Linked DNA regions of Notamacropus eugenii. The protein of the gene in region 4 interacts with the protein of the main gene of each other region in a pairwise test. Links are inferred from orthologs where the notes say so. Each region holds a gene or a part of one and is shown on either strand. Other genes may lie near its edges.

Evidence for each region.
Region 1: the proteins of DISC1 (region 4) and MLLT10 interact in a two-hybrid assay, tested with the Homo sapiens proteins (2 studies listed by BioGRID and IntAct). The link is inferred for Notamacropus eugenii from reciprocal best matches to the Homo sapiens genes DISC1 and MLLT10.
Region 2: the proteins of DISC1 (region 4) and KIFAP3 interact in a two-hybrid assay, tested with the Homo sapiens proteins (2 studies listed by BioGRID and IntAct). The link is inferred for Notamacropus eugenii from reciprocal best matches to the Homo sapiens genes DISC1 and KIFAP3.
Region 3: the proteins of DISC1 (region 4) and NUP160 interact in binary tests that used the Homo sapiens proteins (3 or more experiments, as listed by UniProt). The link is inferred for Notamacropus eugenii from reciprocal best matches to the Homo sapiens genes DISC1 and NUP160.

The regions. Positions count from the first base shown.
Region 1 is NC_092874.1:62,279,058-62,286,000, reverse strand, and holds the start of MLLT10 (protein AF-10), read right to left. Parts: upstream 3,010-6,943; 5' UTR 2,929-3,009; intron 2,586-2,928; exon of another isoform or gene 2,264-2,585; intron 2,110-2,263; coding exon 1,950-2,109; intron 1,591-1,949; exon of another isoform or gene 1,515-1,590; intron 1,389-1,514; exon of another isoform or gene 801-1,388; intron 51-800; coding exon 1-50. UniProt on the Homo sapiens protein: Probably involved in transcriptional regulation. In vitro or as fusion protein with KMT2A/MLL1 has transactivation activity. Binds to cruciform DNA.
Region 2 is NC_092873.1:476,273,356-476,280,690, reverse strand, and holds the start of KIFAP3 (kinesin-associated protein 3), read right to left. Parts: upstream 3,019-7,335; 5' UTR 2,934-3,018; coding exon 2,854-2,933; intron 1-2,853. UniProt on the Homo sapiens protein: Involved in tethering the chromosomes to the spindle pole and in chromosome movement. Binds to the tail domain of the KIF3A/KIF3B heterodimer to form a heterotrimeric KIF3 complex and may regulate the membrane binding of this complex.
Region 3 is NC_092877.1:3,199,594-3,206,929, reverse strand, and holds the start of NUP160 (nuclear pore complex protein Nup160), read right to left. Parts: upstream 3,002-7,336; 5' UTR 2,967-3,001; coding exon 2,864-2,966; intron 1,181-2,863; coding exon 1,072-1,180; intron 1-1,071. UniProt on the Homo sapiens protein: Functions as a component of the nuclear pore complex (NPC). Involved in poly(A)+ RNA transport.
Region 4 is NC_092873.1:390,008,394-390,016,383, reverse strand, and holds the start of DISC1 (disrupted in schizophrenia 1 protein), read right to left. Parts: upstream 3,016-7,990; 5' UTR 2,219-3,015; coding exon 2,119-2,218; intron 1-2,118. UniProt on the Homo sapiens protein: Involved in the regulation of multiple aspects of embryonic and adult neurogenesis. Required for neural progenitor proliferation in the ventrical/subventrical zone during embryonic brain development and in the adult dentate gyrus of the hippocampus.

The DNA.
Region 1 (6,943 bases), on a different chromosome or scaffold from region 4:
TTTCCTGCAAAACCAAGGTCCAGTGGGTACTTGAACAATGCCATAGCAAGCTGTTAGAATAAAAATAAAATGGTTTTTAACACACACACACACATACATATAAATCTCAAAAGTCATAGAAAATCAAAATCCTTTCAAAATTTTTTCTCCTTTACTCAACAGAATACACAAATGGTGATTTGAAATTTTCCAGTTAACAAGAAAAACAAAGTATGTTTTTACTTAAAATTTTAAACATAACATTGCTTTTTAATCAGTGCCAAACAAGTCACTCCTGTTAAATAGCTCGTTGCAAAGGAAAGACCAAGAGGTCAAAGTTAACACAATTCATGAGATTTTTCCGTGGAACAAAAATTCAGAACTTCATCCTCTCATTCTGGCATAAACTTAAGTCACAGCAAGCACTGCACATTACACTTTAATTAAATGAAGATTTTCAAAACACCTTTTAAAACTGAGCTGACATGACAAAAGGAAAAAATTAGTGTCATGCTAAAATATTATTTAATCCTAACTTTAAATATGTAAATGGAAACACAAGGTTGGCTCCAATGCCTCTAACCGCCTGAAAACAGATAGTGCTCTGAAATACTATCGTTCTATCGTTATTTCTAAATGCATATGTACATATTTAAACTAGTTTAGTCATAACCTGACTTGAAATTTCAACTACAGGATTTTAACGAAATTACTAACAAACCTGACCATAAATCTCAGATTCAAAGCTATAGGCAGTATTAGGAGATCAGAAAAAGAGTACAAAGAACCCAGCAGGTGTGCAGTCCCCTCTAAGCCCTCACCTCAGCCCCCAAACTGCAGCTGGGGAAGGCAGATCGTACTGCACACCCCAAAGGAACGGCTTCCCGGTGGCTAGCGCCTGACAAGTCTTTTCTACCAACGTTTGTGCCCACACGTCATGCCCTCGTGCTACAGCTCCAGGCCCCCAGCTCTGCCCTCCGCCTAGCCTCACACGCTCGCGGACCTCGCGGACGCTGGACGACACCGACCGGCCACCCGAGAACCAGGACCGCTGGCCTCCACGCCGCGAGCGCTGCCCCGCTCTACCCACAGCGCCGCTCTGGGCGTCCGGATCCCGGGGGAATGTCAGCACTAAGTTACAGGGCATGACGGTCCGGCCGGCCGGCTCGCCACACGGACCCGGAGAGCGTCAGCCACGTCTCCCCAGCTAGTCCAGCGGAGGGTTAGAGACCCGCGCCCGGGCTCGGGAAGCAGGCCTGCGCGATGCCTTCCAGCGGCCACGTCACCCTCGCCCCCCACGGCCCCCGGCACGGCCCCCCGGCTCCGCCGGCCGGCGCGCCCGCTCCGCCCTCCGCCCTCCGCCCGTCTCCCAGCTCCGGGCTCCGCCTGCCCGAGGCTTCCCAGGACCCGGCAGCGCCAGGCGCTCCGGGGGGCCGCGGAGGCGCGCCGGTTCTGCCCGACTTCTTCACCCCGCAAAGCCCCGCGGATGACAGCCTCCCCACGTGCGCCCCCCGCCGCGGGACCCCCCGACTCACAGTCGCCCCGAGCCGGTCACCAGTCGGAGCTCCGCGCGGGGGGCCGCCCGCAGCGCGCCGCGCCCCGAGCCCGAGCGGCCCCGGCCGCGCCGCGGGCGCCGCCGCAGCCTGCTTCCCCGGGAACCTCCGGCGGCCCGGCCACCCCCGCTCGCCAGCAGCCCGGGAAGTCTGCCGAGCTCCTGCCAGCCAGCCAGCCAGAGGCAGAGGGGCGGGAAGAGCGCCCGAGAGGAGGGGCGCGCGGAGGGCCCCCGCCCCCCGCCCCTGCCCGGCCGCGGGGCGCCCGCAGCCCGAGGGGCTCCCCGCCCCCTGCCGGCGCGGCCACACGCACCGCTCCCCCGCCCCCGGGCCGGGGCGCGCCGCGGGGGGGGCCGCGGGCGGGGCGCGGGGCGGCGGTTGGGGGAGGCCCGGCGGGCGGGCGGTTGGCGGGGTGTTTACCTTGGTGCACGGCGACGCTGCAGCCGTGCCCGTCGCAGTAAACCAGCGGGTTCTCGGCCCAGCCTCTCTCGTCTGAGCAAACGCAGCAGCCTCCAATCATCTCCTTCATACTATGGGAGCCCTCGTCCTCCAGTGACACGGGCCGGTCGCTAGAGACCATCTGCGGGGGAGGGGAGAAAGACCATTGAGGGGGCAGGGAGCTCACGAGGACCCCCGCCTCCCCTCGAGCCTCCCCGCCGCCCTCCCCTCCCGCCGCCCCCCGGCCTCCCCCGGCCCGAGCCCGCACGCCCGCCCGCCGCTCCTCGTTCGCTCACTCGGGCTTCGCTGCTCAGTCACTCACGTTCTGCACTGGAGTCAGGAGCCATGTCCGTGCTGACTCCCTACCCCCCTCCCCCCTCCCCACCCCCTCCTCGCCTCCTCCTTCTCCTCCTCCTCTCCTTCTCTCCCCTCCCCACCTCCACCCGGGATGCTAACACAGGAACCTGGAGAGGACACACATAGCAACTAGGCCTCCGCACAGGCGCACTGGGGGGCTCCCGCGGGGCAGCGGGGAGCCTGGGAGGGGAGAGAGGGAGCTCGCTTCCTCCTTAGCGTCATCCGGCGTGCGCGCCCGCCTCAGCCCCCAGGAGGAAGAGGAAAGGGGAGGGGGTGGGGAAGCAGGACGTGCGCGCCCCCGGCACGACGCCGCGGCTTCCTTCTTCCCTCCCCTCCCAGGGTTCTTCTTCCCTTCCCCCATTCCTATCCCTGAGGGTGAAGCGGGAGAGGGGGATGGGAGGGAGCCGGGATCACGGAGAGCCTCGGCAGGAGCGCGCCGCGCCGTGCACGCGCACGCGCACGAAAGGGGCGTCGGGTCAGCCTCCCGCTTTCTCGGCCTGCAAGCTCGCCCATGCGGCCGTTGCGGGAGAGATGAGGGCAGCGGCTGATGTCGGCGAAATGTGGGTGAAAGTGACCTCCGTGGCCTCGCCCTCCTTCGGTCTACCTGACGCAGCCCTCCCGGAGCACTCGCTCAGTGGAGAGCCCGGGCCTTCCTCAGGAAGGACGCGCGGCTCCTCGCCCGGGGTTCTGCCAGCTTCTCCGCCCTGCTGCAGCCCCTCGAGCCGCCTCGGTCCCCTTAGGGAACCGCGCAAAGTTAGCAGACCACGTGGAGAGAAGGGCTAGCCAGCCCGGCGACGCAGACGCGCCGGCTGCGGTGACAAACGAACGCTCCTACGTCTTCATCTCGAAGGCCAAAGCCATGTGTTACTGTTGCACATGGAGGGGCTGGGGAGAACGCCTGGCCCAGCCCTGGCTTCATGGCCTGAGCCCCAAGACGTACCGGAGTGCATGTTTGACTCCAAGTGCACCCTGGAATTTTGGTATTATTTAAGTAGACTGAAGGGAGGGAGCTGTCTTGTTACGTGCATATAAACAAAAATGAAATGGACCTAGGTTGTGTAATTAGCATAACAGGACGCAGCACTTCCAAGCTGTGAAATTCACTCCGTGGGAGCACAGCATTCGATTGGAAATGAGATCAGTGTCATAAAGAGACTAGTTTCATATACTTTCCTTCTCCCTAAGTCAGCCAGTCACATAATTTTCCCCTGAAATTAGAATGTATCCGTTGATACTGTTTATTTAAAACAGCAGGCATGGGTGCAAAGCAAGTTTGCAGTTTGGGTTTAGTAACTTGCAAATCGCAGGTGCAGAGTTGGTATTCATGGCAGAATGACAGAATGGAAATAGCAATGATTAGGAAAAAATGTAATTTGAAGTAAAAAAGATGAAGAAGCCCTACTTCTACCTATTCCTCTCTTCACAAAAGAAACATCTTTAATTTCAAAAGCAATCCAAATATTTTTGTAACCCAGAGAAGAATGGAAACAATTTCACTAATTCATTAGAAATTCACAATAGAATTATAATGCTCATACATACACATGTGTAACAATATGGTTTAAAAAAAAGAGCATAGAAACTCACTAAAATCTAATAGACTATAAGAAGAAAATTGAAATTGACCAGATGCTCTAAAGAAAATGTTTTCTCCTTAGAAACATTAATAAATTTAGAAAATTTTATTGCAGTATATGAATGTTTATATGTACAATGTGGCCGCTTCCTTTTGGGAGAGTCATAAATGATACTCTGAACATATCATAGCTATGTGCTAAATTCATTGGTATGTATAAAACTGAAAACTGAATTCAGGTAAAATCACATTGCTTCATATATTCCATTTAACTGTATACTTTATCCCTATAGTAATACAATGGAATACCAGTTCAATACCCAATTGCTGCTCAGACTCCTAATGTGCAGTATTTCTGAGTTAAGATCAATGTGAAACTTCCCTTCTTCAAAAATGCAGTCAAGTCTTAATGCACTAAATTATTTAATAATACATTTGTTTTATTTTTAATGGATTGCAGCTTAGTTCTTTTGATGGAATTAATTTATATGAACAAAAGGATTCCATGATCACTACCTTACAGTAGTAATCTGTAATATTTGGTAGCAAAATTTAGGAAACCTCTTGATAGATGCATAAAACAATCATTTGGAGGAAACCTTTGAAATAAAAACAAAATAAGAATACATTACCTCAAAAAAAGGAAACAAGCAACAAAATCTGAAAATGAACTTTTGTCAATAATATACTTTCTTTAAGCATTGATATGGAAAGTCAATTTTTCATAGAGAAAAATCATCTCTGAAAGTAATTTAATACCTCCATGTATAATTAGAATTGTGATAATCAGAAGAAAATCTAGTGAATCTACATGAATATGAACTTGTTAGCCATATATAAAACTTTTTCTTACAAGTTACATATCAGAAGCATGTTACTTAAGTTTTCTAAAAAGTAAATAGGAAGAATATTAAAAATCTTCATGATACAATTCATACACTAACATTTTTCCTTTATGCAATTCAAAACAATTTATAAAATGTTGCACACTATAGTAGTTCTTGTACTTCTAAATAATTGAACATTATACTTTAGTTCTAAAAATGTTTAAAGATCAATTGCGCTGTTTTTGTCTGGGAGGGATTTTTAAAATCTTTTTGTGCAAAAAAAAAGTGAGAGTGATGAAAATAATCAAAATAGAATTCCTTGATTAATTTAATGAAAATAAAATTTGAAATTTCTTAACACAGTGGTACATTTTTGCTAGATATCTTCTCTTCTAATCTGTCCAACCTTCTCAAAATATGTTGAAAAATACATCTAGTACTTGCTGAGTAAGACTAAAGCCTAGATTCCCTAATATTCCTCTTGATGTAACAGCAGTTACATCACTGATAGCTCAGCTATTCCTGTGAGCTAATCATCTGATGAACACCATAAGAAGCTCAAGGAAAATATTTTATGATTTGACCTGTGACCTAAGCATAATGAAAAATATGAACAATGTTTTTTCTATGGGAAGTAGGTCTTAAAATTTTTTCTTTGTTTTATTTCTTAACTGTTTTGTTGATTTCCTTGTGTATGGGCCTACATTTTATATTACTTTTTAAAAATGTATACTCAGAAGGAAATATTTAGAAAATAATTACTATAGAAAGAGGTTAATATTGTTCACGTTTATCCCTTTAAAATAAATCACTCTTGAATATCTTGTTGGTAGACACTGTAACAACCCTAATCAAAATACATTTTAATCAAATATGTGTATAAAACTAAGAGAGAATAAGCCACATGGTCACTTTTTACAATGTATTTTCTTAAGTCATGTTTTGACCTCTGCAAATGGTGTTTTAAATGGTATACTGGCTCAGATCCAGCAATTATTTCTAGACATAATCAATAATAGAGTTCATGTAGCCACATAACCTTACTTAGTCTTGCTTCACATTACTGAAGTTAGAAAACTTCAGTTAGGAAAAGCCAGTTCTGCTTTACATAACAGGCTATACTTACAGACAATTCCTACCACAACGTGGTTCCTTAATTAGAAAGGGGTTTCGGGGGGGTTTTGTTTTGTTTTTCTACCTATTTGGTCTTCAAGAATCCAGACCTTTTATCTAGAGACTTGATAAGAACACATTTATTTATGCCAGTTTGGGTAAAATAACTTTAAACCGAGCAACTTACACGTTATTTTGGCATGCTATATTTGCTCTATCTACAGATATTCATATCTTATAATGTGTATCTCTTTAGATACACACATATGTGCCACATGTATATTATTATAGTATTCCCAATGTCCTAAGTGGTGTCTTAAAGTAATTATTTCAATGGGGTTTTTATAATTGGGGTATCACCTTTCTTGGCTTTTGGCAAATTCCATTTAAGAAAGAGTAACAGACTTACTAAGTAGCCTTCAAGTGCCTGGCACATAGTAGGCTCTCAATAAACATTTACTGAATGAAGAAACAACGTTGATATTTAAATTTTAATTTCAGGTCCAGATTTAATGTTAAGTGTGAAGTAATATTTAGTTTTCTAAGAACAATATTAAACTAAAATTTCTAATTAAAGAGACTATTAAAATGAAAATTCCTGATGGACAATTAATTTCTTTAGAGATTCTCTACTGTTTGAGATGATAGGAAGGATTTTTATTTGCCAGGTGATTTGTAATTCTCTACACTTAAACAGTCCTCAAATGCTAAACACTTTTTTTGTCTATAAATGGTAATTATGTTACAAAAGACCTCCAAACTTCAAACCGTCACAGTGAATATTATTGTGTTAATCCCAGGAAATCTCCAGTTAGCAAATGGGAAAATTTAAATTACATGCAATTTAAATGAAATACTTTCTTAAAATCAGAGACTAATATTCACTTGGAAAGTTTGATTAGACAAATATGAGAGTAGAATTGGGGCTGTTGCATTTGAATCTGATTTCTGATAATGGGGTTATATTGACTAGTTCCATTTTTCTATCAAATACTACGTAATTAATTACCAATACAGGGAGTAAATCAGAAGCCTATTTTCATATTCTTTTCTCTCTCACATAACCTGGATAAAAATTTGAACCCTTCACTATGTGTTAGAAA
Region 2 (7,335 bases), about 86 Mb from region 4:
TCTGGGTGCGGAATTCGCCGTGAGTTACTTCCCTGTAGCCATTCTATGGGTTGTGGGTTCAGAGCTATGTGTATGTGCGTCTTTCTACTCCGCCATCTTGGCTCCGCCCCCCCAAAACAAATTTAAAAACTCCAACATCAGAGGGAGGAGCATGACATGAAGAATGTAAGGATGATTATAAGAAAGAATTAAAAACCTGTGATATAGCTGCGTGTGTGTGTTTATAAACATAGAAAAAAACAACAATTTATCTGGAGGAATAAAAAGGCAAGAATCTCAAAGGAAGTAATAAAAAAAGTGGGAAGTAAGGGAGATTAGCATTAAACAAAATTACATGCAATTACAAGGAAAAGCTTTTCCTCTTTCCTCAAGATGGAATTAAACTACAAATCTGTAATCATCAAAATTATTTGGTAAAGGTTTAAAAACTAGGAGATACAAAATAGGCACTTAATAAATGTTCACTGATTAGTGGAACAGATTGGGCATACAACATATGGAAGCAAATGAACACAGTACCATAGAGTTTGATAAATCCAAGGACTAGATGCTGGGGAAAGGATTCACTATTTGAAAAGAAGGAAAAAAAAAACCTACTGGAAAAATATGAACTGTTTAGCAAAAATTAGACATTGACCAACATCTTACACCATGTAACCAAGATAAGCTCCTAATGAATATGACTTAGACATAAGCTTAACATTATAAACAAATTGAGAGGAGCAAGGAAGAAATTTCCTGTTGGGTTGGGCCTATGGGAGAGAGAAAGATCATGACCAAGCAAGGGACAAAGATGTCAAAAGAAAAAGTGGACAATTTTGATTATGGAAAATTTAAAAGGTTTTGCACAACAAAACCCGTGCAGATAGGATCAGAAAGAAAACAGTTAAATAAGGACAAATCTTCGCAGGAAATTTCCCTGATACAGGTCTCATATTCAAGATATTTATTCCTAAGAACAGCACCCATCTCCCAATAAATAAATGGTTAAAAGCTATAGACAGTTTTCAAAAGAATAAATCCAAGTTATCAATAATTACATGAATAAAATTCCTGAAATCACTTAATAAAGTAAATTCAAGTTAAAGTAACTTTGAGATCCTATCTCCAACCCTTCGGATTGGCAAAAAAGACAAGAAAGGAAAATGACTATTGTTAGAGAGGCTGTGGGAAAATACGCTTACAAATAAAAGTATTTGTGAAGTTTTAATTTTATCTAGTCATCATGGAAATCAATTTGAGAGAGGGAGAGAGACAGAGAGAAATTATATGTAAGTTTGTCTAGGTTGATAATCACAAGAGAAGAATGACATCTCTGAAAAGGAACTGGCAGAGAGAGTGGGTAAAATTTTTACTTTCTTTTTATATAAATTATATGTTTTCATAGTCAAATAATTTTTTGTAAATACCCATATGACTCACTGGGCACAAAACCCAAGTAAGCTGAAACAGGCATAGTTCCTGTCCTTTAGTACTTTACAATGAAATTAAGCTATAATTATTCTGTAGTCTTAGTTCTGAGCTCCTTTAACATCCCCATTCTTTTGATCTCAACAACTCAGTTAAGTCAGTCAGTAAATATTCACAGGATGCAGGGTACTGGTAGCCTTAGGTGCTTTGGGATATATAACAAAAATTAGATACAGTCCCTACTCTTCAGGAAGCTTACGTGACAAACGTGCGATCAGCCTAAGTGTATATAAATACACTAATTTCAAGAACATCCCAGAGGAGAGTTAAGAATTGTATTGATGACTGAAGACTGCTTGCTGTTACTTTTGGAAAACTTTTGCAGTGATTTAAAGGATAGGAGTGAACTCCTTCCTTAAAGAGGATGGAAATAAATACCCTATTCTGTGCCCTTTGGGCAGTCTTGTTCAAAATGAAGAGATGGAAAAGGAAGACCAAAGTATAAAGGGCAGCAAGAAGGTTAATGTGGTTGGGAAAATGTGGAGGGTAGGTAGGAAAAGAAATGGGGAAGGATTGAATATCAGAACATATAAAAAGGATGGGGTTATTTAACTGGTGAAAGAGACTTGAGAGCCATGACCAGATGTTGTCCCAGGGATCAGAAATTGACACAAGATCCATTTAGAGATGTTACATTGTTGCTGTTGTCAGTTTTCTCAATTATGTCTGACCCATTGGGGGTTTTCTTGGAAAACATACTGGAGTGGTTTGCCATTTTCTTCTCCAGCTCATTTTACAGATGAAGACCTTGAGGCCAACAGGGTTAAATGACTTGTCCAGAGTCCCACAGCTACTAAGTATCTGAAGCCCAATTTGATCTCAGGAAGAAGAGTCTTCTTGACTCAAGCCTGGCTCTTGATGCGCTATGGCACCACCTAGCTGCCCTAGAAGTGTTATAAACTACAAGAAAATCAAGAGCAACTAGGCGATTGGAAAGTGAAGACTTGACAGTATCACGGAAGACAGAAGACGTATAGGACAAGAAAGAACAATTTGCTGACACGTCTAGTGAGGTGAAATTAAATTTTTTTGGTATAGATATAGACTCTGTGTGTGTGTGTCTGTGTGTTAAGTAACAATGAAAAGACATAATAAAAAAGTATTTTAATTGACTCGTCAATTATTTCCTCATGGGACAGATAACTTGAGCTTAAAGAGAAATTCAATTTACTTCAATTCAACACGCCTTCATTGAGGGCCTTCAGTACGTGAGTGCTTAGACAAGAAAACAAAAAGTCCTCAATGAGTTTACATTCTGCTGTCTGAAAACTACAGGTGCCTGGGAAGCATCTGAGGCTTAAGATAACAGAAGAACCAGTCCTTCAAACACACTCAGAACCTTTCAACATCAATAGCCTCTGCTTTCTCACGAGCCTTCCTTACCTGGTTACGGCCTTTGGGATGTCATCAAAGGGCCACTGAGGCCCAAAGAGCCCGCTTCCACTGCCTATTAATGCAGTCATCTTCCCACCTTTCAAGTTAACCTGAGCTCACATTGCACACCTTACTGCAAAGGAGTCTTCAGTTGAAAAGGCATTTCAAAGAAATCTGCTCCCTGATGACCTCCCCCCACCCCGCCTTGTTTACAGCTGGCGTGACAGAGAGGGCAACAACTATGACATCATCACACTCCCAGTAAGCTCTGGATGAAGAGGGAGACAAAGTCCCACTATGACAATGGCATTCGATCTCTTTACGTTTCTCCTTTCTCATTCTTTTTGGGGCCCAAATTATGTTTTGAGAATCCAGTGAGATAAAGCAGTGTGATGTATCTCACTCAAATGTGTTTAATAATGATGTAGTTGTTATCCAAATATATGTTTCATTTCAGTTGGACAGATATTTATTGATTGTATTTCTACTATGTGAAAGTCACTTCCCAAGGAGTCACGGTGGACACAAAGACACATAATGATACGCAAGTCTCTGCCCTTGAGGAATTTATATTCTAAATGTAGGCTGTATAGAAGAAGTATATACAAAAAATCAGTAAAAGGAGTAGAAAACAGAGACTATGAAAGTTCACAGGAGAGATGGGTTACATCTAACTGAGGGAGCCCAAGGAAGAATACCTAGATAAAGTGATATCTGAGCTGGACCTTAAAGGAAAAACGGAATTTCAACTGACAGATTTAAGGGAGAGAGGACATTCTCATCACAAGAAATACTTTGAACAATAGTCACAAGTGCTAGATACATCAGGCTATATTCAAGGGACTATAACCATCCCCAGTTAGTTGGAGTAGAGGACATTTGAATGAGATGAATAGCAAGGTAAGAACAAGAATGTAGGTTGGAGCAGGGTTATGGAGGGTCATGAATTCTAGAATAAGCAGTTTGAAATTTATAGATGGGAATCTATGGGAAACTATAGAAGGTTTTGTGAAAGAGAAATGTGATCAGGTCTATTCGTTAGGAAGATCAGTTTGGCAATGTTATATAAGGTGGATAAGGCAAAGAATATGAAAGTGAGGAGATTAGAATCATAGAACAAAAAAATTTAGAGTTAAAATGAACCTTCATGGACGTCTATTCTAAGCAGTTCCTGGGTAAGAATCTCCTCTAAAATAACCCAAAGTAGTCATGCAGCTTTTGTCTGAAAATTTCCACCAAAGGAGACCCACCACTTCCCAAGGTAGCTTATTCAACTTCTGGACAGATCTAGTTCTTAGGAAATGTTACCTTATATCAAGCTATAAAGTTCACCTACTCATTCTCATACACCAATGATCTCTCCTTTAAAAATGGCTCCCAGACTAAACGTAATATTTTCACTTCCTTCATTTTTACTTTTAATAATGAAGCCCAACATTATGTTAGCTTCATTACTAATCATATCATTGTTTCTATATTTTTTTCCAGCAATATTCATTGTCCAACACATGGTTAGTTTTATATGTGTATGTATATACACATATATGTATATATGCATACACACACATATATGTTTATATACACACATACATAGGAATATGTGTGTTGTATCTATATGTGTATGTATTTGTGTGTTTGTTGTCTCCTGGATAATGCAGTGATACTTTCAGCTGTGCTTACCTTCTAGCATGTTCTTATATGGTGAACAATTTTTGTTCAACTTATCGGCTCATCTCTATCATGCTGTCAGAAAATTTCATTTCGGGGTTTGAAATATTCAGTGAATTTGGAGCTAGAGGGAGCACGTTGATTGCCAAAATTCTTCATTTCAGAACAGGACCAACTGAATATGGAAAATGGTTTTGTAGCAGCAAGTTACAGAATCATGTAATTTTAAAGCTGGAAGAGAGTGACAGTTGACACTGATCTTGGCTGTTGACAGAAATGTCCACTGGAAGCAGGTATTATGTTATTTGGTCACTGAGGAGCATGTACTTGTCCTATTATGGGTTACAAGACCAGAAGGAACATTGGAGATCATTTTAGTCCAAGCTTTTCTTTTTACAATGAGAATATTGGGCTCCAGAGAGAGGAGGTTAATATCCCAGGGTCATGTGGGTAGTATGTGTGGTTGGGATTAAAATCCAAGTGTCCTGACTCTAAATCTAGTTTGGATTCCGCTCTCTTCCACTACTTCTCTTCATTTCTGCAGATAGAGATCATCTTGCTGGGGTACTTGAAATAGTTACAACTTTCATCACAACAGCCTTGTGGAAGGAAACTCTAACTAAAGAGGAAGAAAGAAAGAGAAAAATAGTATGCTTTAGTTTTTATTAGGTGTCATCAGTTCTTTTTTTGGAAGCAGCATCACGAGTCCTTTGAGATTGTGTTGAATCATTGCATTGCTGAAAATAGCTAAGTCATTCATAGATGTTTATTGTATAATATTGCTGTTACTGGGTACAAGGTTCTCCTGGTTCTGCTCACTTCACTTTGCATCAATTCATATAAGTCCTTTCCAGGTTTTTCTGAAATGATCCTAATCATCATTCTTATAACACAATAATATTCCATTACAATTATATACAACAACTTGTTCAGCCATTCCCCATTGATGTTCATGCTCAAGGTGTCATTTTTGACCTCATAAGTATCACCAAGAATTGGTGGAATGAGATCTATAACTGGAATAAAGCTATGGAGGAATATACCTTATCCCAAAGAATCATGATAGCTAAGACGGGGGAGGCAAGAGAAATATTGGATACTAATTTATCACTTAGAGGGTACATTTGCTCACAAGTATTGTCCAGTATATCCTGACTCTAGGTACTTTCATGGAATAGCAACCACTCCATGAGCTATAACTAATGGGACATATTTTGATCAAAGCAAAAGTATTTAATAAAATAACATAATAAGAAAAGAAGGTATGGAATTATCCTCCTCTAAAATTGGAGCACATTCTCCCTCAAATATACTCACCATCAACAGGAAAAATGGACATTTATAGATCTCAGACATGGGAGAGCATACTTGTAAGGGAAAGTATGTGGCTAGGATTTGTATGTGTTCAGTTTAACGCCTGATAATACAAGGCTACTGCTGTTCTCTGGTGATGCCATCATATTGCTCTCTTTTCTTTCTTTTGGGCATCACTTTGTTGGTATCATGAGTGCCACCTGGTTTATAGTCTCTTCTGGGCATTTTCCTCTCTTCCTTCCTTCCTTTCCTTTCCTTTCCTTTCCTTTCCTTTCCTTTCCTATCCTTCCTTCCTTCCTTCCTTCCTTCCTTCCTTCCTTCCTTCCTTCCTTCCTTCCTTCCTTCCTTCCTTCCTTCCTTCCTTCCCTCCTGCCTGCCTGCCTGCCTGCCTTTCTTTTTTTTTTTTTTGCAACTCCTACGCATTATTCCTAGTTTTACCCTAGAGGACAAATAAAAACAAATCTAATGACAGTTCTTCAAATATCTGAAAATAATCGGTGCATTCTGTCTTCTCTTCTCCATATTAAGTACCCTCATTTCATTCAACTTGTCCTTAAAAGAATTGAACTTCCTGATGATTCTTCTCTGGATAAACTTTAGTTTGTCAATGCACTTCCTAAAATATGGCACCTAGAACTGAACACAGTACTCTAGGTGAATTCTAACTAGGGTAAAGCACAGTGAGACTGTCACCTTGCTAGTCCTGTATGCTATGCCACTCTTAATGTAAACTAAAATTCCTTAGGCTTTTTTTGACTAACATATCATACCACTAACTGGTACTGAGCTTGCATTCTACTAAAACCCCCCAGTTCCTTGTAAAATGAACTAATTTCTAGTCATTTCTCCTGTCTTAGTTAATTCTAATTTTAAAATTTAAAACTGATTCTTTGCATCTCAAGTATAGAAATATCTCATTAAATTTTATTGTATTATATTTGGCTTAGCATTCTAAACTGTTGAGCTAATTTTGGATCTTCTATCCATCTCAGTTTTGTGTCATTAAAAAACTTGATATGTGTCTGTGTCTTCATTCCAGTCAATGATGAAAACATTGTCCAACATAAGACCTTGCACAGATTTACATGTCATTTTATCAGATGTCTCCCTCCAAGGTGACATTGAAACATCGATGGTTCCTCTTTCATCCCAACTAATTCAACCAATTCTGTATCTAACTGACTATGATGAACTCTAGCTCATATCTCTATCTTGTCTACAAAGATAGAATGAGAGGCTCTGTAAAATGCTAGCTGAAATCTAGGTAATCTATGTCTACAGATTTCCCTTACTCTATTAGCTTATTAACTTTGTTAAAATCAGACAAGGTGAATCTGGGATGACTCACCATGTTCATTTACCAATGGGCTGACATACTCCTAGAGGAACTGACTCATCAATATTGACAATCTTACTATAAAAGATAGTAAAGTAGATAGGAAGTTGCAGCTAAATGAAAAGACTGTCTTTGGAGAGACACATTAATGCATTTGACAGAGGTGGTTTTCT
Region 3 (7,336 bases), on a different chromosome or scaffold from region 4:
CTCATGGGTTTCCCAGGGCTCCACTCAGGCCACCTTTCCTCTGCATCTAAAAGCTGACCTATACAATAGACCTGCTCACAAATCTTTCATGGCTTCATAGTTCAAAGTTTGCTGCCCGACATTCAAGGCCCTCCACAGACTTTCCAGTTTCCTATAATACCCATCCCCTTCCCCAGCCAGACTTTTAATTTTTATTCTATCTCCAAGCACAAGTTTTCATACCTTAATGGCTTTATAGGCTATTCCCCAAATTGCTATGTTTTTCCTCTCCTTTATCTGCTGCATTTCCGCCCACCCCTTACAGCTCCACCTGATGACTTCCTTGAGGAAGTCTTCCCTGATCAAGACCTGGTACAGAATGATTGTCACCTTCACATCTCACTTGGAACTTCTCAGAGCAGAGCTAATGCACCTACCATGGAAGACTGTATTCTAAGGTGTCTTTCTTAGGTTCCTACTAGACCAGACTGCACAACTTGGCAGTAGGTAGGGGCCAAAATTAAAATAGGCTCAACTTCTTCTAGTCACAGATAGGTTCATACTAGAGACAGATCCATGATGGTTGGTTGCTGCGAGTCATACGACAAACAGGAGAGTGTGCAGTGACAATTCTACATTTTTCGAGGGCTGCCTGAAATCTTTTGATGGACTGCAAACAGACCTATATTAGACTGTAAACTTTGTGAGGAAAGATTAATATCTTAACTATGGATATTTTCCCCAGAACCTATCACCATGTTCTATGTTACTGTAGAGTACAACATATTTAATGTCGGTCATTTTTATTTCCTACTGCCTGGGACCATAACTTTATGGTGAGAAAGGTCATTCATTAGAGATTATATAGTCCAACACCCTCATTTTACAGATGTGGAAACTGAGTTCCAGAGATGTTAAATAATGGGACCAAAATCCAGAATTTCTTGTTGTTACATTTGTTCTCCATATAACCTAGAAATCAGATTTTTTTAAAGTCTCTTCCTATTCTCACAAACCATTATTCCCTTAGGTACGATCATCCCCTCATACTAGAGTACATGGCCCAGACCTCCTTCCTTCTGTAACACTCACCAATGAATGAACCTGTTTCTGGTGACGGAGAACAACTTGCTGCTTTCCAAGTAGTAGAAGCCGCCCGCGCTCTCCACATACTTCACAGCTCCGGACAAACCCACGAGTTCTGCAAAGGGAACATCGGGGCAGTTCAGCACATGTCAGAGCTGGAAGGGACTCTGAAGCACTGAGTGTCAGGTGACCTTAGAGCCTAGAACATCAGAGCTGGAGAGGGCTTTGGAACGCAGAATGTTAGAGCTGGAAGGGACTCTGAAGCACTGAATGTCAGGCGACTTTAGAGCCTAGAACATCAGAGCTGGAGAGGGCTTCAGAACGCAGAATGTTAGAGCTGGAAGGGACTCTGAAGCACTGAATGTCAGGCGACTTTAGAGCCTAGAACATCAGAGCTGGAGAGGGCTTCAGAACGCAGAATGTTAGAGCTGAAGGGACTCTGAAGCACTGAATGTCAGGCGACTTTAGAGCCTAGAACATCAGAGCTGGAGAGGGCTTCAGAACGCAGAATGTTAGAGCTGGAAGGGACTCTGAAGCACTGAATGTCAGGCGACTTTAGAGCCTAGAACATCAGAGCTGGAGAGGGCTTCAGAACGCAGAATGTTAGAGCTGGAAGGGACTCTGAAGCACTGAATGTCAGGCGACTTTAGAGCCTAGAACATCAGAGCTGGAGAGGGCTTCAGAACGCAGAATGTTAGAGCTGGAAGGGACTCTGAAGCACTGAATGTCAGGCGACTTTAGAGCCTAGAACATCAGAGCTGGAGAGGGCTTCAGAACGCAGAATGTTAGAGCTGGAAGGGACTCTGAAGCACTGAATGTCAGGCGACTTTAGAGCCTAGAACATCAGAGCTGGAGAGGGCTTCGGAACGCAGAATGTTAGAGCTGGAAGGGACTCTGAAGCACTGAATGTCAGGCGACTTTAGAGCCTAGAACATCAGAGCTGGAGAGGGCTTCAGAACGCAGAATGTTAGAGCTGGAAGGTTTCTTGGAATATCGAATGTCACGGTAGGGGAAACTTTAGAACGTGGACTGAAGGAGCTGGAGATTTAGAACGCAGCCCCTGAGGGGTGGGAGAGGACTGGAGCACTGGCCCCTAGGGGCTGGAGGGCCTTAGAACATAGAAGGTGAGGGGCAGGGGGGCCCTAAAACGCGGCCCCTGAGGAGCGGGGGGGGGGGGGGGGGGGGGGGGCCCTTAGAACGCAGCCCCTGAGGGGCGGGGGGGGGGGGGGCCTAGAACGCGGCCCCTGAGGGGTGGGGGGGGGCCTTAGAACGCAGCCCCTGAGGAGCGCGGGGGGGGGGGGCCTTAGAACGCGGCCCCTGAGGGGTGGGGGGGGCCTTAGAACGCAGCCCCTGAGGAGCGCGGGGGGGGGGGGGGCCTTAGAACGCGGCCCCTGAGGGGCGCGGGGGGGCCTTAGAACGCGGCCCCCCAGCGGCGCGGGGGGGGGGCCTAGAACGCGGCCCCTGAGGGGCGCGGGGGGGGGGGCCTTAGAACGCGGCCCCTGAGGGGTGGGGGGGGCCTAGAACGCGGCCCCTGAGGGGTGGGGGGGGCCTTAGAACGCAGCCCCTGAGGAGCGCGGGGGGGGGGGCCTTAGAACGCGGCCCCTGAGGGGCGCGGGGGGGGGGGGGGGCCTAGAACGCGGCCCCCCAGCGGCGCGGGGCCTCAGCACAGCCGGTCCAGGCCTCTCACAGCCCGGGCTGTCACAGCGCGGCCCGCTCCGGTGCCTGGGCCCAAGCCCCCCGGCACGCACGGGGACACTGAGGCACGGAGAGGGCCGGGGTCCCGGGGCTCGCCCAGTACCGGAGCCGCAGACGGTGAAGTCCCGGAAGCGCCGCTGTGTCTCCCGCTCGGCGCCGCACAGCTCCACGAAACTCTTCTCTAACGCTCCCGCCGCCGCCATCATCCCGCCGCCGCAAGGCCCGACGGGACGCGCGGGCCCACCCCTCGGCCTGGCGTCACTTCCGGCGGCGCCGCGAGGCCCTGCGAAGCCTCGAGCTCGGCCAGACTCGGCGCCTGGCGGGCCCGGCGGGGCGCAGGAAAGGATGGAGCTTCGCGTCCCCGGCCAGAGCCTCTCTCGAGGCCATTTCCGCCGGCCTCCCCAGGGGGCGGGGCCGGAGCTGGGGCATTTCCTTGCGCAGGCGCAGAACTGATGGGGGTGGTGCTGCGTCTTGGTAGGGCGGGAGGGCAGGAAGCTGAGGCGCATTATGGCAGACTTAGAGCTACCCGGACCCGACAGGCCGCGTAGCCGCCGCAGTCTCACTTTACAGATGCAGAAGCTCAGGGCCAGCGAAGTTAAGTGACTTGCCCACGGTCCCACACGTGCTTAGCCCCAGCGGTGGGAGGTGAATCCGGGCGCCGCCGGCGGGCCCAGGGCATAGCGCCCTCCTGGAGTCGGGAGGACCTGAGTTCCAGTTCCGCTTCAGACGATTAGCTGCGTGACCCTGGGCGAGTCGCTTCACCCTGCTTGCCTCAGTTTCCCAGCTGTCCAATGAGCTGGAGAAGAAAATGGCCAACCCCTGCAGAATCTCTCAGGAAAACCCCAAATGAGGTCGCAAGGAGTGGGGTATGACTGAGCACGAACGGCAGACGCTCCCCAGGGGGGCGTCCTGGAGGAAGTGGGGCCGGCCAGAGAAAATGCTGGGTCTTGTCTGGTCTCTGGATGGAGGAGGAAGGTGTGGGAAGATTGACTGTCTCTGACCTTTGTATCCTCAGGGCTTAGCACCTCGTAGGCTCTTCATAAATGCTTCTTGACTTCTTGAGAGAAAATTGGAAAGTGATCATTTTTTAGGGGTTCTTTTCAGACTTCATAATTTTCTTCTCTGTGCATTCTCTTGGTCTTTATGGCTACTTTTTACACGTGTGTCTGTTTTAGGGGCTTTCCTTGGGTGCTCGGTATTATTCTGAAACAGACGTTTATGGAATGCCAGCTGTATGCAGAGCACTCTACGGGGCCAGGGGAGGTGCTATGCTATACACTATGTAAATCAAAGCTGTTTGGTTGTAACCTTAGTCAGGTTACAATGTATCCAAATGTGTCTGATCAGACTCATATGAGCTCCGAATGCCCTAGCGCAGGTGGGACACACATAGGAACATTTGGACTGGGTTCTTGAGTTTGCATCTCCAGTTTCTTTTGGGCTGCTTCAATTCTGCTTTGCTCAAAGTGCCTAGAACCTCTGATGAGGGCACACCATGCTGGGTGGTCCTGTGTCAGCATCTCGTAGTCATATAAGCAATTCCAAAGTTCTTCAGAGACATCTTGAGAGCGTCCTTCTGACCTCCGTGTAAGAGCTTGCCCTGTGTGAGTTCTCTGTAAAATAGAATTTTGGCATTTGAACAACGTGGTCAGTCCATCATAGTTGTGCTCTCTGCGGTACATTTGAATCTTTGGTAGTTTAGTTTGAAAAAGGACCTTGGTGTCTGGTACCTTATCCCACCGAGGTGATCTTCAGAACCTAAGACAATTCAAATCGAAGCAATTCAGTTTCCTGGCATGGCACTGGTATAATGGCTCTGTAGACCTTCAGTCTGATCTACAATGAATACTTCTCCTCTCTCACACTTTCCTTTGGAGCCCCTGTAAGAGCAAGCAAAGTAGGATTTTTGTTGTTTTCTTTTTGGAGTTCAGTTTCCTAGGCTCAGGCTAAATTGAGAACATCTGAATGCTCAATCTCCTTTGAACCCCTCTAGTTCACAGCTGTGCTGAGTTACATGGGTTGTGATGCCTGCTGGCTCTGAGCTTATTAGTTGAAAACTATATAAACTGGGAGGTTGGTATTTTTGTGGGGGGGGGGGGTTAGTTTATAGAAGGACCTTTGGATTCTTTGGACGGGACTGAGTAGCTGTTTGTTAAGAACCCATGGACTACTCAAAGGTTTGTGTTCACCCATCTGGTGGTGTATGTAGGTGGTTGTCTTACTTTGTTCAGACAGAGAGAACTGTGTCTGTTGAATCTTTGTGCTAATTCTCTGCTTATACTTACTCTGTATTTTCTCCACATTCAGGGTGCTAACCTTTCCCCTGAACTAGTGAATGACATATATGCTTAATTAAAGAAAGATTGTTAAAGCTGTCTTTCCTGTATAAAGCATATCAAAGAACCTGTGCTAGCAGGTCATTCTGGATATGCTAGGGTGCTTGGTAATACAGCCTTTCGAACTCTGAGCTAGCTCTGGCAATGGGTGTGTCAACTTCAGTGTCAATGTGTACATCCCTAGAAAGTATATTGACAAGGTAATCAAACTTATTTATCCACATCATTCAAAACTCCATTTGCTGTAGCCGATGATTCCACCTATGGGTGGTATGGTGCTGGCTGATGGAGTACTTGTGTTTTCTTGGTGTTGGTTGTTAGGCCAAAATTAGCACAAGGAGCAAAAGCACACATTACCAGAGCTAGCTCAGTGTTTGGGAGGTTCCAGAGTACTGGTGGAACCATTGCTCATTTATGATATGTAGAATATTGTATAGTAAGTACAGTGCTTGTGAGGTCTGGAGGGGAAGGTGGTTAGTGAAAGAAGGATAAGCCTCCATGGAAGGAAATAAGCTCCTTAGTAAGATTTTACAATACACTCCACTGGGGCAGGGATTTTTTAAACTTGTTATTTCTCTCAGCCCAGCAAAGTGTAGACAACAGGAGCTTAATGCAAGCTTCTTTTGAATTTAATTCCTCTGTGGTAATGAAATGAATACAGGACTTTGGGTTCCTTGAATTGTAGATGGTTAGTAATAGCATTTCTTTAACATTTGATCCGATCCATTTTGAGGTTTTTGATCAATTGGTATTTATGACCCTCCTTCTAAATATCAGGCACTACACTAAGAGCTGAGGATACAAAGAAGTCAAAGACAATGCCTACCCACAGAAAGCTTAGTCTAATGGGACAGACAACAAACGTACAAACAGGCTGTATAGAGAATCTCTATCCCAAAACAATTTGAAGTAACGAGTTTTGAACAAGGAAAAGCTCATAATACTTGGTGTCCCAAAATCTTAGTACACTTTTAAGCTATTAAAGTTATATGTTAAACATCCTGCATGATAGAATACAGTTTGGGGATCAACATCATAGAACAGGGGTGGGGAACCCTGTCCTAGAACAATAGGATTTTATTGTCTATTTATTAAAACTGCTTGTATTCCTCCCCTAGCCATCCAAAGGCCAAAAGGCTTCTTTCCTCTAACCAGTCCCCTAATAATTACACTGGATTAGCAAAATCACTTATGAAGCCCATTATTGATGTGCTAGGGACTACGCTGGGAAGGCAAACACAAGCCGAAACAGTCAGAAAGTTAATCACCTGCTGCATGCCAGGCGCCTTGCTAAGTGCTGGGAATTCGAAGAAAGACAAGACAGCCCCTGCTCATGATGGGATGCCAACTGCTATGTGGAAATAAGCTCCATATAGGATGAATGAAAGATGGGGGAGCGGAAAAGCGGGGCTTTTACTTTTTCACACTTTTTAATTTATGGAATAAAAAGCATTTATGTAACACAGCATAATAAAAAGATGATTGCCCATGAAACTGCAGCTCTGTTATGCATGGCTTGTTGTTCCTTTTAAATTTAGAATAAAGTTAGGTAAATTTCTTTTTTCTTCTTTTCCTTCCCTCCCTCCCTCTTTGCCCTAAGGATGGCTACCATTAGACACAAATAGGTATATATGTATATATACATATACATATATGTAAAATTTTTCTATACATACTTTTATTTATCAGTTCTTTCTCTGGATGTAGATAGTATCTTTCTTCATGTATCCTCTAGCGCTAATTTGGATATTTATCACAGTCAAGATGACTTATTCACTTAAAGCTGTTCTTAAAACAATGTTGCTTTTCCTATAGACAATATCCTCTTGGTTCTACTCCTTTCACTTTCCATTATTTTATGCAAGTCTTTCCATGTTTTTCTAAGATCATTGAGCTCCTTCTTTCTTGTAGCACAGTAATAGTCCATCACAATCATAAACCACAACTTGTTCAGCCAGTTCCCAGTTGGTAGGTATCCCTGCAGTTTCCAGTTAGCTGGTACTTAAGAAAGCCAGGGAAACAAAGAGGTAGAGATGAGGAGGGAGAGCATCCCATGCATATGGGAAATTGAGGGAAAATGCCAACAGGGGGGAAATGGAGTTTCTGTACAAGGTGGAGAAGTTGTCCAGAGAGTCTGAGGCTGCTTGAGAGCGTGGCTGGTGTGAACACTTCCTCAGATGGAGGTTTTGGGGAGAAATCCTTTCAGAATGCGGAAGAAACTGTCCTTAGAGGATTCTTAG
Region 4 (7,990 bases):
CATCTATTTTTCAAACAAAAAGAGTCAACAAGATCATTTCAAGCATACTGGGGGAAAAACAACTTGTAAGATTACAATTAACTTGCTCCTTTCATTTCTAAATATTTTTATTGAGTTGCTTCTCCAAACCAAACCAGGAACTGTCATTTCCTCTCTGTGACAAGCACAGTCATATCTGTAATGCCTTTCTGCCCTATCGGTTTCTAAAATATTTACTAAGTGCTAGGTTTTTAGAGCATTCTGTGATATGTTGCAGTTTCTTTTCTTTGAAGAATCTATATTAATCACTAAGACTGGGTTCCTCAGTTGCTTTAGATGCCTAATATTCAAGCATCTCTTAGTTTAGAGGAATAACTGGACAAGTGAGCTGTTCTGAATTGAAATCCTACCAAGTCAGCAAACTTCTCTGAATCTCAAGGTCCTCATCAATAAAATGAGAATAATAATCCCACAGGATTGTTGTGAGGATCAAATGAGAAAATGTATGTAAAGTGCTTTGTGAACCTTAAAATGATTGTTATTTCCAACATTCCATCATCTAGGCTTTTCAATAAATTGAACTGGCCTTGCACTATTTATTTTTTCGAATGTCAGTCAACTAGCATTTATTAAGCTCTTTTATGTGCCAGGCATTGTACTAAGCTCTGGGGATAAAAAGAAAGGCAAAAATCAGTCCCTGCTCTCAAGAAACTCACAATCTGATGGGTGAGACAACATGCATAAAACAGTGTGCAAACATGAGATAGATATATATATACATATGAAAAAATATATATAAATATAGGATAAATTGGGAATAGTCTCAGTAGAAATTCCCTAAGTTTGGGGAGAATTGGAAAAGGCTTCTTGCACAAGGTGGGACTCAAAAGAAACCAGGGAAGCCAGAGGTGAGGAGTGGGGGCATTCCAGGCCTGTAGAAAAGCCAGAGAAAACTCTGAGTCAAGACGGAGGGTTTGTTGTAGGGTAGTATAACCATAACCCACTTTAGCATCATATGAAACTTTTGAATTCCTTTGCAGACACTTTCAGAAGGAAATGAATTGAGTTAATTGAATTCTTCAGAATAGTCTACCTTTAATGAATCTAGTATCAGCACTGCCGCTAAGAGTTTATTCTTACCACCTGTCGGGGACCCCTGCAGCGAACCTTGGTAAGCGGTATGTAGTGCTGTTAAATCAGATGTGGCACCCCATGAAACTGTTTACGTTGCCCGGGTCTGGGGTCGGTAGCGGGACTACATTCTCTCAATCTTCTCATCACCTCCTTTCTAACCTTCCCTCTTCCATTCTCCTCATTTCCCGAGCCTCACGTCATGACTAGTCGGTAGGGATGGGGCCCCAGAAATCGAAGCATGGTTAAGAACTGCTCTTGCTGATCCGACAGAAGTTGGGGAACCTCCCACCTCCTTCCTAGCACTACCGTGCTCTTAAGTCCAGCGTGCCCTGCCCCCACGTCAGCGGCCGCCAACACAGGGAAGTTAGGGAGGGGGTCAATGCACAGAGAAGGGCTCTTGTCCAGTCAGTTTCCTGCAATTGATCTAAACGAAAACAAAGCGAAGCAGTTCCCGGGTTAACACGAAAAGCCACACACCCACCCGCGGACTGGGAGCGCTGCAGGCTGGGACTCGGTCCAGCCCCGATCCCAAACCACGCTGACTTACAAAACGCCTACCAGCGCGCAGGCAGAGTGCCCTCCTTCTCTGGTTCTTAAACCAAATAAGAAAATAAGCGCGTACTCGTTAGGGAAAGGAGCTTCGGTGCTGGGCACCCGCAGAGGGACAGGCGCGCACTCCCAGCCGTGACCCTGTTTGTCTCTAGGCACGGCCCCCGCACGCTCTGTGCCTCAGTTTCTCCCCGCTGTAACGGGGCGGTAGAAGTTGCCATTGTTACCTTTGCCACTTCCTGGATGTCAGTTACTTCTCCACACCCACCCAGCCCCCAAACTGCTAGGCGGTTTCAGTTCCCCGCTCCGCTCGAATCCCTCTCCGAAGAACCGTGGTGAAAGCTCCAGCCCGACCCCCACCCCACCCTTGCCCGTCCAGGGGAGGGGAGAGGAGTGGGAGAAGCTGGAGGGACCCTGCTCGAAGTGCTGTCCTGGGTGGCTGTGGAGGTCTCTTACCAGGGCTCTGACCCCCGCTGTTGCTTCTGCCGCTGCCCCTCAGTTGCTCAGGGCGCTCGCCCCAGGCGGCCGGGGCACCCCGCTGCCCCCTGCCCAGCATCGATCCTCCCTACGAGCTCTGCTACCCCCGTTGCTTCCTCTCCACGCCCGCCAGAGCTCGGGGAGTGGGAAGCCGGGGGCGGGGAGGGGGGGGGCTCCAGCCACGCGGGGCTCCTCCTCCTCTTCTCTCCCTCCGTTTCTCCGGCGCTGTCTGCACGGTCTACTCCCCTGGGGACACCCGGGCCTGGCCCTTCAGTCAGAGAGGCATGAAACGAGAGCTGGGAGAGGAGTTGTGAGAAGAAGGGGATGGGGGTCAGCAAGGAGACTGCTTCCTTCTCCAGGACCGTGATTTCTGTGAGATTTCCGAGCTCTCTAAGCACCTCCAGCACCCCCCTTGAGCTTCCCCAACTTCGGTGGTGGGGGCCCCAGGCTTGCCGAAAGTTTGGTTTCTGCTTTTACTAAATCCCAGCTCTGAACCTTGGAAGAGAAGAGCTTGGATGAGAGAACGAGGATATAGAATTTAAGGATGAAAGAATATGAAGAGTATGGTATGGAAAATAAAAGGGAATCCCCCAGCTTCCAAATTTTGGGAAGGGTAAAAACATAGGCGTGTGAGGTGGAGTAGAGTGGGAGGAAATTTCGAGGAAAAGAATGACTAACTGAATGAAAACAACAACAACTTGATATTAAGACCAGCAATGTGCCAGCTATAGCCTACTGGTTAGAGTAGTGGAAGGTGGGGCAGTGATAGAGTGCCCAGCCTGGAGTCAGGAGAAATCTTCCTGAGTTCAATCTGGCCTCCTACACTTACTAGTTGTGTGACCTTGGGCAAGTCACATAACCCTGTTTGCTTTTACCCTCATCTGTAAATTCAGCTGGAGGAGGCAATGGCAAATCAGGCCAGTGTCTTTGCCAAGAAAACTCCAAAGAGCATCACAAAGAGCCTAAGACAGTAAATTGCAGAAGAGGTGTTGACCTGCATTAGTAGAGGGACTTTCCTCACCTTCCTTACTTGGTAGTTCACTAGAGCCTAATACCCATCTTTAGGTACTAGTGATTCAAATACAAAAGTAAAACTGCTTCTGTCCTCAAATAGCTTATTTTATAACAGTGTGGAGCAACACATATAGGAGAGTCATAACCAAAGAAGGAAGTTTTTGTCTGAGAAGCCACAAGAATAAAGAGTGGTTTCCAAAGGACTCATGATGAAAAATGCTATCCATCTCCTTAGAGAGAACTGAAGAATTCTGAGTGCAGATTGAAGCAGATTTTTTCACTTAATTTGTGTGTGTGTGTGTGTATTTTCTTTTGCAGTATGGCTAACACGGAAATATGTTTTGCATGACTTCACATGTATAATTGCTATATTGCTTGCCTTCTCAGAGGGTGAGGGAGGGACCAAAGGGAAGAAGAGGATTTGGAATTCAAAATTTTTTAAAATGAATGTTTAAAAATTTTAATGTAATTGGGAACTATGAAAGGAAATAAATAAAAAAATTTTGAAAAGATAAAGAATGATGAGTAATGGATGGCCCTGTCTTTTCCTAGAAGCACTGATAGTACTGATTTGATCACTATTCCCAGGAAAAGAAATGGCAAAATGTTCCAAGATGTCTGATTTGGGTGAATTTGAGACTGCTAGATGTAGTTACTTGAAAACCAAGAGCTGAACCCCAGGATGGAGCTCCAAAGCTGAATGGGTTAACTCACCTAAAAAGGACATTTGGTCTCTTTTCCAAAGAGTGTGCTGTTCCAGGTAGAAAAAGGAAATAGTGACAAGATAATGGCAAGATGGGCAGAAGAAGGTAGAATGGAAAAAATGGGAGCATAGGTAGTAGCAACCCTACAATCAAAGTAACCTAAACAAAATTCAGGCATCTGAATTCTCATCAATTTCCTAATGCCATTGCAGTGGGTCTGTCACTACCCCAGATGTCTTTGACCTCTCCTTAAGCTCCTAGGCTAACAGAATACTCATCCTAGGGGTTGTTTATTTGTTCCTTCAACAAACATTTAAGTGCGCTTATAGGCAGTGGAGCACATAAAGACATGGATCAAGTGATAAGGCAGTTAGGTGATTTCAGACCTAGTTGACCAGATCCCAAAAGTATTGATGGGGATGTCTATGCCACCTTGGAGGGAGATCTCAAATGAAGATCCTAAGGAATCTGTCCTTGGCTTTGTGCTGTTCAACATTCTAATCAATGACATGGAGGAAGGTATAGATAACATGTTTGTAAAATTTGCAGGTGACATGTCAAAGAAAGCAACAACCAACATGTCAAAAGACAAAAAAAAAATCAAAAAGGTTTCAATAAGATAGAGTAATGGGCTGACTCCAATTAAGGAAAATATAACAAGAATGAGTAGAAAACATTGGCTGTAACGATATAAAAAGATTTGAAGGTTTTAAAGCAATGGTGTCCAACTCAAAAAAAAAATGGCAGTCACTAAACCATACATAAGAATCTCCTCAACCACATATTGACTTAGTTGTTGTCTGTTGTATTTTTATTTATTTTGCTAAATATTTTCCAATTACATTTTAATTTGGCTTAGCTGCACCCAGGAATACTATGGGCCATGTTTTTGACATCTCTGTTTTCGACCTTTACAAGTTCAATATAAGGCAGTCAAAAAAAATAGGATCTTAGACACAGGAAGAAATAATAAAAGGAAGCAATGGGTGATTAGGTCTCAGCAAATAAGTGGTATGGATTTAAAAAGTATACAAAATTCAGGGGAAAGAAAGTTCACTTGTGTATAGGAAAGACTTCACAAAGAAGATAGGATTTAAGCTGAAGCCTGAAAAATGGAAAGGATTTAGCTGGATGGAGAGGAAGAGAAAGGTCATTTTAGGGGGGATAAACAGCATGAATGTATCTGATCTTCCTTTCCTTCCATGTACCACTTTACTCATGTTGGAGAATGGTAGTGGCCTAACTACCTCATGCTGAGACAAGGATCAATAAGGTAAACTAGAAGTTCTGTAGATACCAAGGTTTAGCTAGATTTCAGTGTTCAAGAAGGAAGACTCTTAGTAGATAAGGTTGGAAAGGTTCAGATAGTGACATCCAGAATGCCAGGTTTAGGAGCTTGAATCCTGTCCTATAGGTATCAATTAGCCATAAGAAGTTTTTGAGCAAGAGATAGAAATTAATCATGATCAAAATCAGTGTTCATGGATATGTGCATGGCACTCTATTCATATAAAGAAGTGTTGCATTCTCTTTGGTCCAGAAGCATGGCATGATTTTAAAAGATTCATCTGGCTGCAATATTTAGAATATGACATCTGGAGTTTCCAAATATGTCCCTACAGGGATGGAGAAGAATATCAGAAACATCACCCTGGTAGAATGCAACATCAAATAATATCTGAATGATCTTATCAAGACATATTTGCCTTTCTAGGGAATCAATTTAGTGTAGTGAGAAGACTAGACTTGGTATCAGTCAATCCACTACCATTTATTAAATACTTATTATGTGCCAACCACGGTGCTAAGTGCTGAGAATAGAAATAGAAAGAAAGGCAGCGTTTACCCTCAAGGAGCTTACATTCTGATGAGAGAAGACAATGCATAAAAGGAAGTTGAAAAGGGGCTGGAAGGAGAAAAAGGTACCTCATGAGGGAGGCATAGTAGAGAAAGTCCTAAGCAAAACCTAGAGAGGAATGAGACATCAGTGGCCTGAGTGCCTTCCTTAAATAGAGGTTCTAAGAGGAGCCATCCAATGAGAGGAGGAAGAAGCCACAGGAGTAGAGGGTACTTCCAATATGTGAATTCCAAGGCTACAGTGAAGATTCATGGATGAAGAACTGGGATATGGTGAGGTTTTAGAATAGTAGAAGAAATCTGGAGTACAGTCTGAAGAGGAATGAGAATTAGGAGAGGCAGATTTTATTCCCCCCTCTGATATTTACCAGCTCCATAACTATTGATAAATCATGTCATCTATACTATTAATTAATCATGTCATCTATCTGAGCCTCAGGTTTCTTCACTAGAAAATGGAGGAGATACCTACTTCATGTGTTGCATTGAGAATCAAATATCATGGACTCCCCAAAACTACCCCAGGTCTGAGGTACTTTGTAGATCAATACTCATTCAAAACCATAGCTCTTGAGTCCCCACTGATGAGTGAATGAATAAACATTTATTAAGGGCTTACTGTGTGCCAAGTACTATAATTGATCTTCAACCAGGTCATGCCTACCAACAGCAGATTACCCCTAGGGCTATTCTCCATTTCTACATTTTCACCTGGTAATCTCATCAATTCCTAAGGATTCAGTTTTCATCTCCATGGTGAAGATGCTCAGATCTGTTTGTTCAGTCCTAATCTCTCTCTTGACCTCAAGTCTAACTTCTCCAATTGCCTACTGAACATCTAGAATTAGATGTCCTGTGGACATCTTAAATTGAACTCATAATCTTCTCCCATGCCCTCTCCCTAACTTTCCTATTGCTGTCATCCTACTAGTCAGCCTGACTCAAAATCTAGGTGTCATCCTTGACTCTTCATCCTCTCACTACCAATTTTACTTTCCTAACATTTCTCCTATATGTCCCATTCACCACATGAAGGGAAAGAGAATAAGCATTTATATAGTGTTTCCTGTATGCTAGGCACTCTCTTAAGAGTTTTTTTTTAATTTTATAAATACTATCTCACTTGATCTTCACAACAAATCTGTGAGGTTGGTTCTATTATTATCTCTATTTTACCACTGAGGAAACTGAAAGGTTAAATGTTTTGTCCATGGTCATACAACTAGTAAGTATCTGAGACTGGATTTGAACTCAGGTCTTTCTGGCTCCAGGACCAGCATTCCATATAATGTACTATCTAGCTTCCTTTAAGCAGAAAGAGGAGGGGAAAGGAAGAATCATTTACATAGCACTTGCTATGTGCCAAGCACTATACTAGGTGTTTTACAGAGATTATTTCATTTGATCCTCACAACCACCCTGTACCGTAGGTGCTATTATCATTCCCACCTTACAGGTGAGGAAACAGAGGCAAATGGAGACTAAATGACTTGTCCAAGGTCACAAAGTTAGTGTCTGAGGTCATATTTGAACTCAGGTGTGGCTGACTTCAGGTTCAGTGCCCTATTATGCCATCTAGCTGCCACTTAAGAACGTCTACTCAGCCAGTAAGTTTGCCCAGAAGATCCAGACAGGGTCTTCCTAGCTATTTTTTGATATCACAAAGATACTAAAAGAACACAATCAATTAATCAATATAGACTTATTAATGAATTATCATTTGTGCCTGTCATGTACTAACTCAATTTTGGGGTTATATCTTGTATATTTATTAATCATAACTCCTTTATTATAGTGTGTTACAACTTACACTCATAACGTATCTTACCCATATATCATTTCTTTGGACACTATTGTTCCATCACTTGCAGTTACACAACAGGATATTAGTGTTTTAAAAGGCAGCTTTTGTTTCAAGGAAAAACTTTGGGTCATTAAAAGAACTTTCCAGTTTCCTGAAGATAATCCATTCTGCTCTCCTTCTGTTCAATTCTGGGCTCAATTTATTATCTTTTTCCTGTGTCTGCCTGAAATTCATATATTGATAGAAAAACTCTATAGGCTATCCATCCTGCTGCATATCATAGCCTGGACAATAGGAATTCTTCATCTATTTGTTTTTTCCTGTATCAAGAGTAAGGCTGAAAAAATGACCTATTTGTACAAAAAATATTTATAGCAGCTCCTTTTGTAGCAGCAAAGAACTGGAAATTGAGGAGGTGCCCATCAACTGGGGAATGGCTGAACAAGTTGTGGTATATGGTTGTAATGGAATG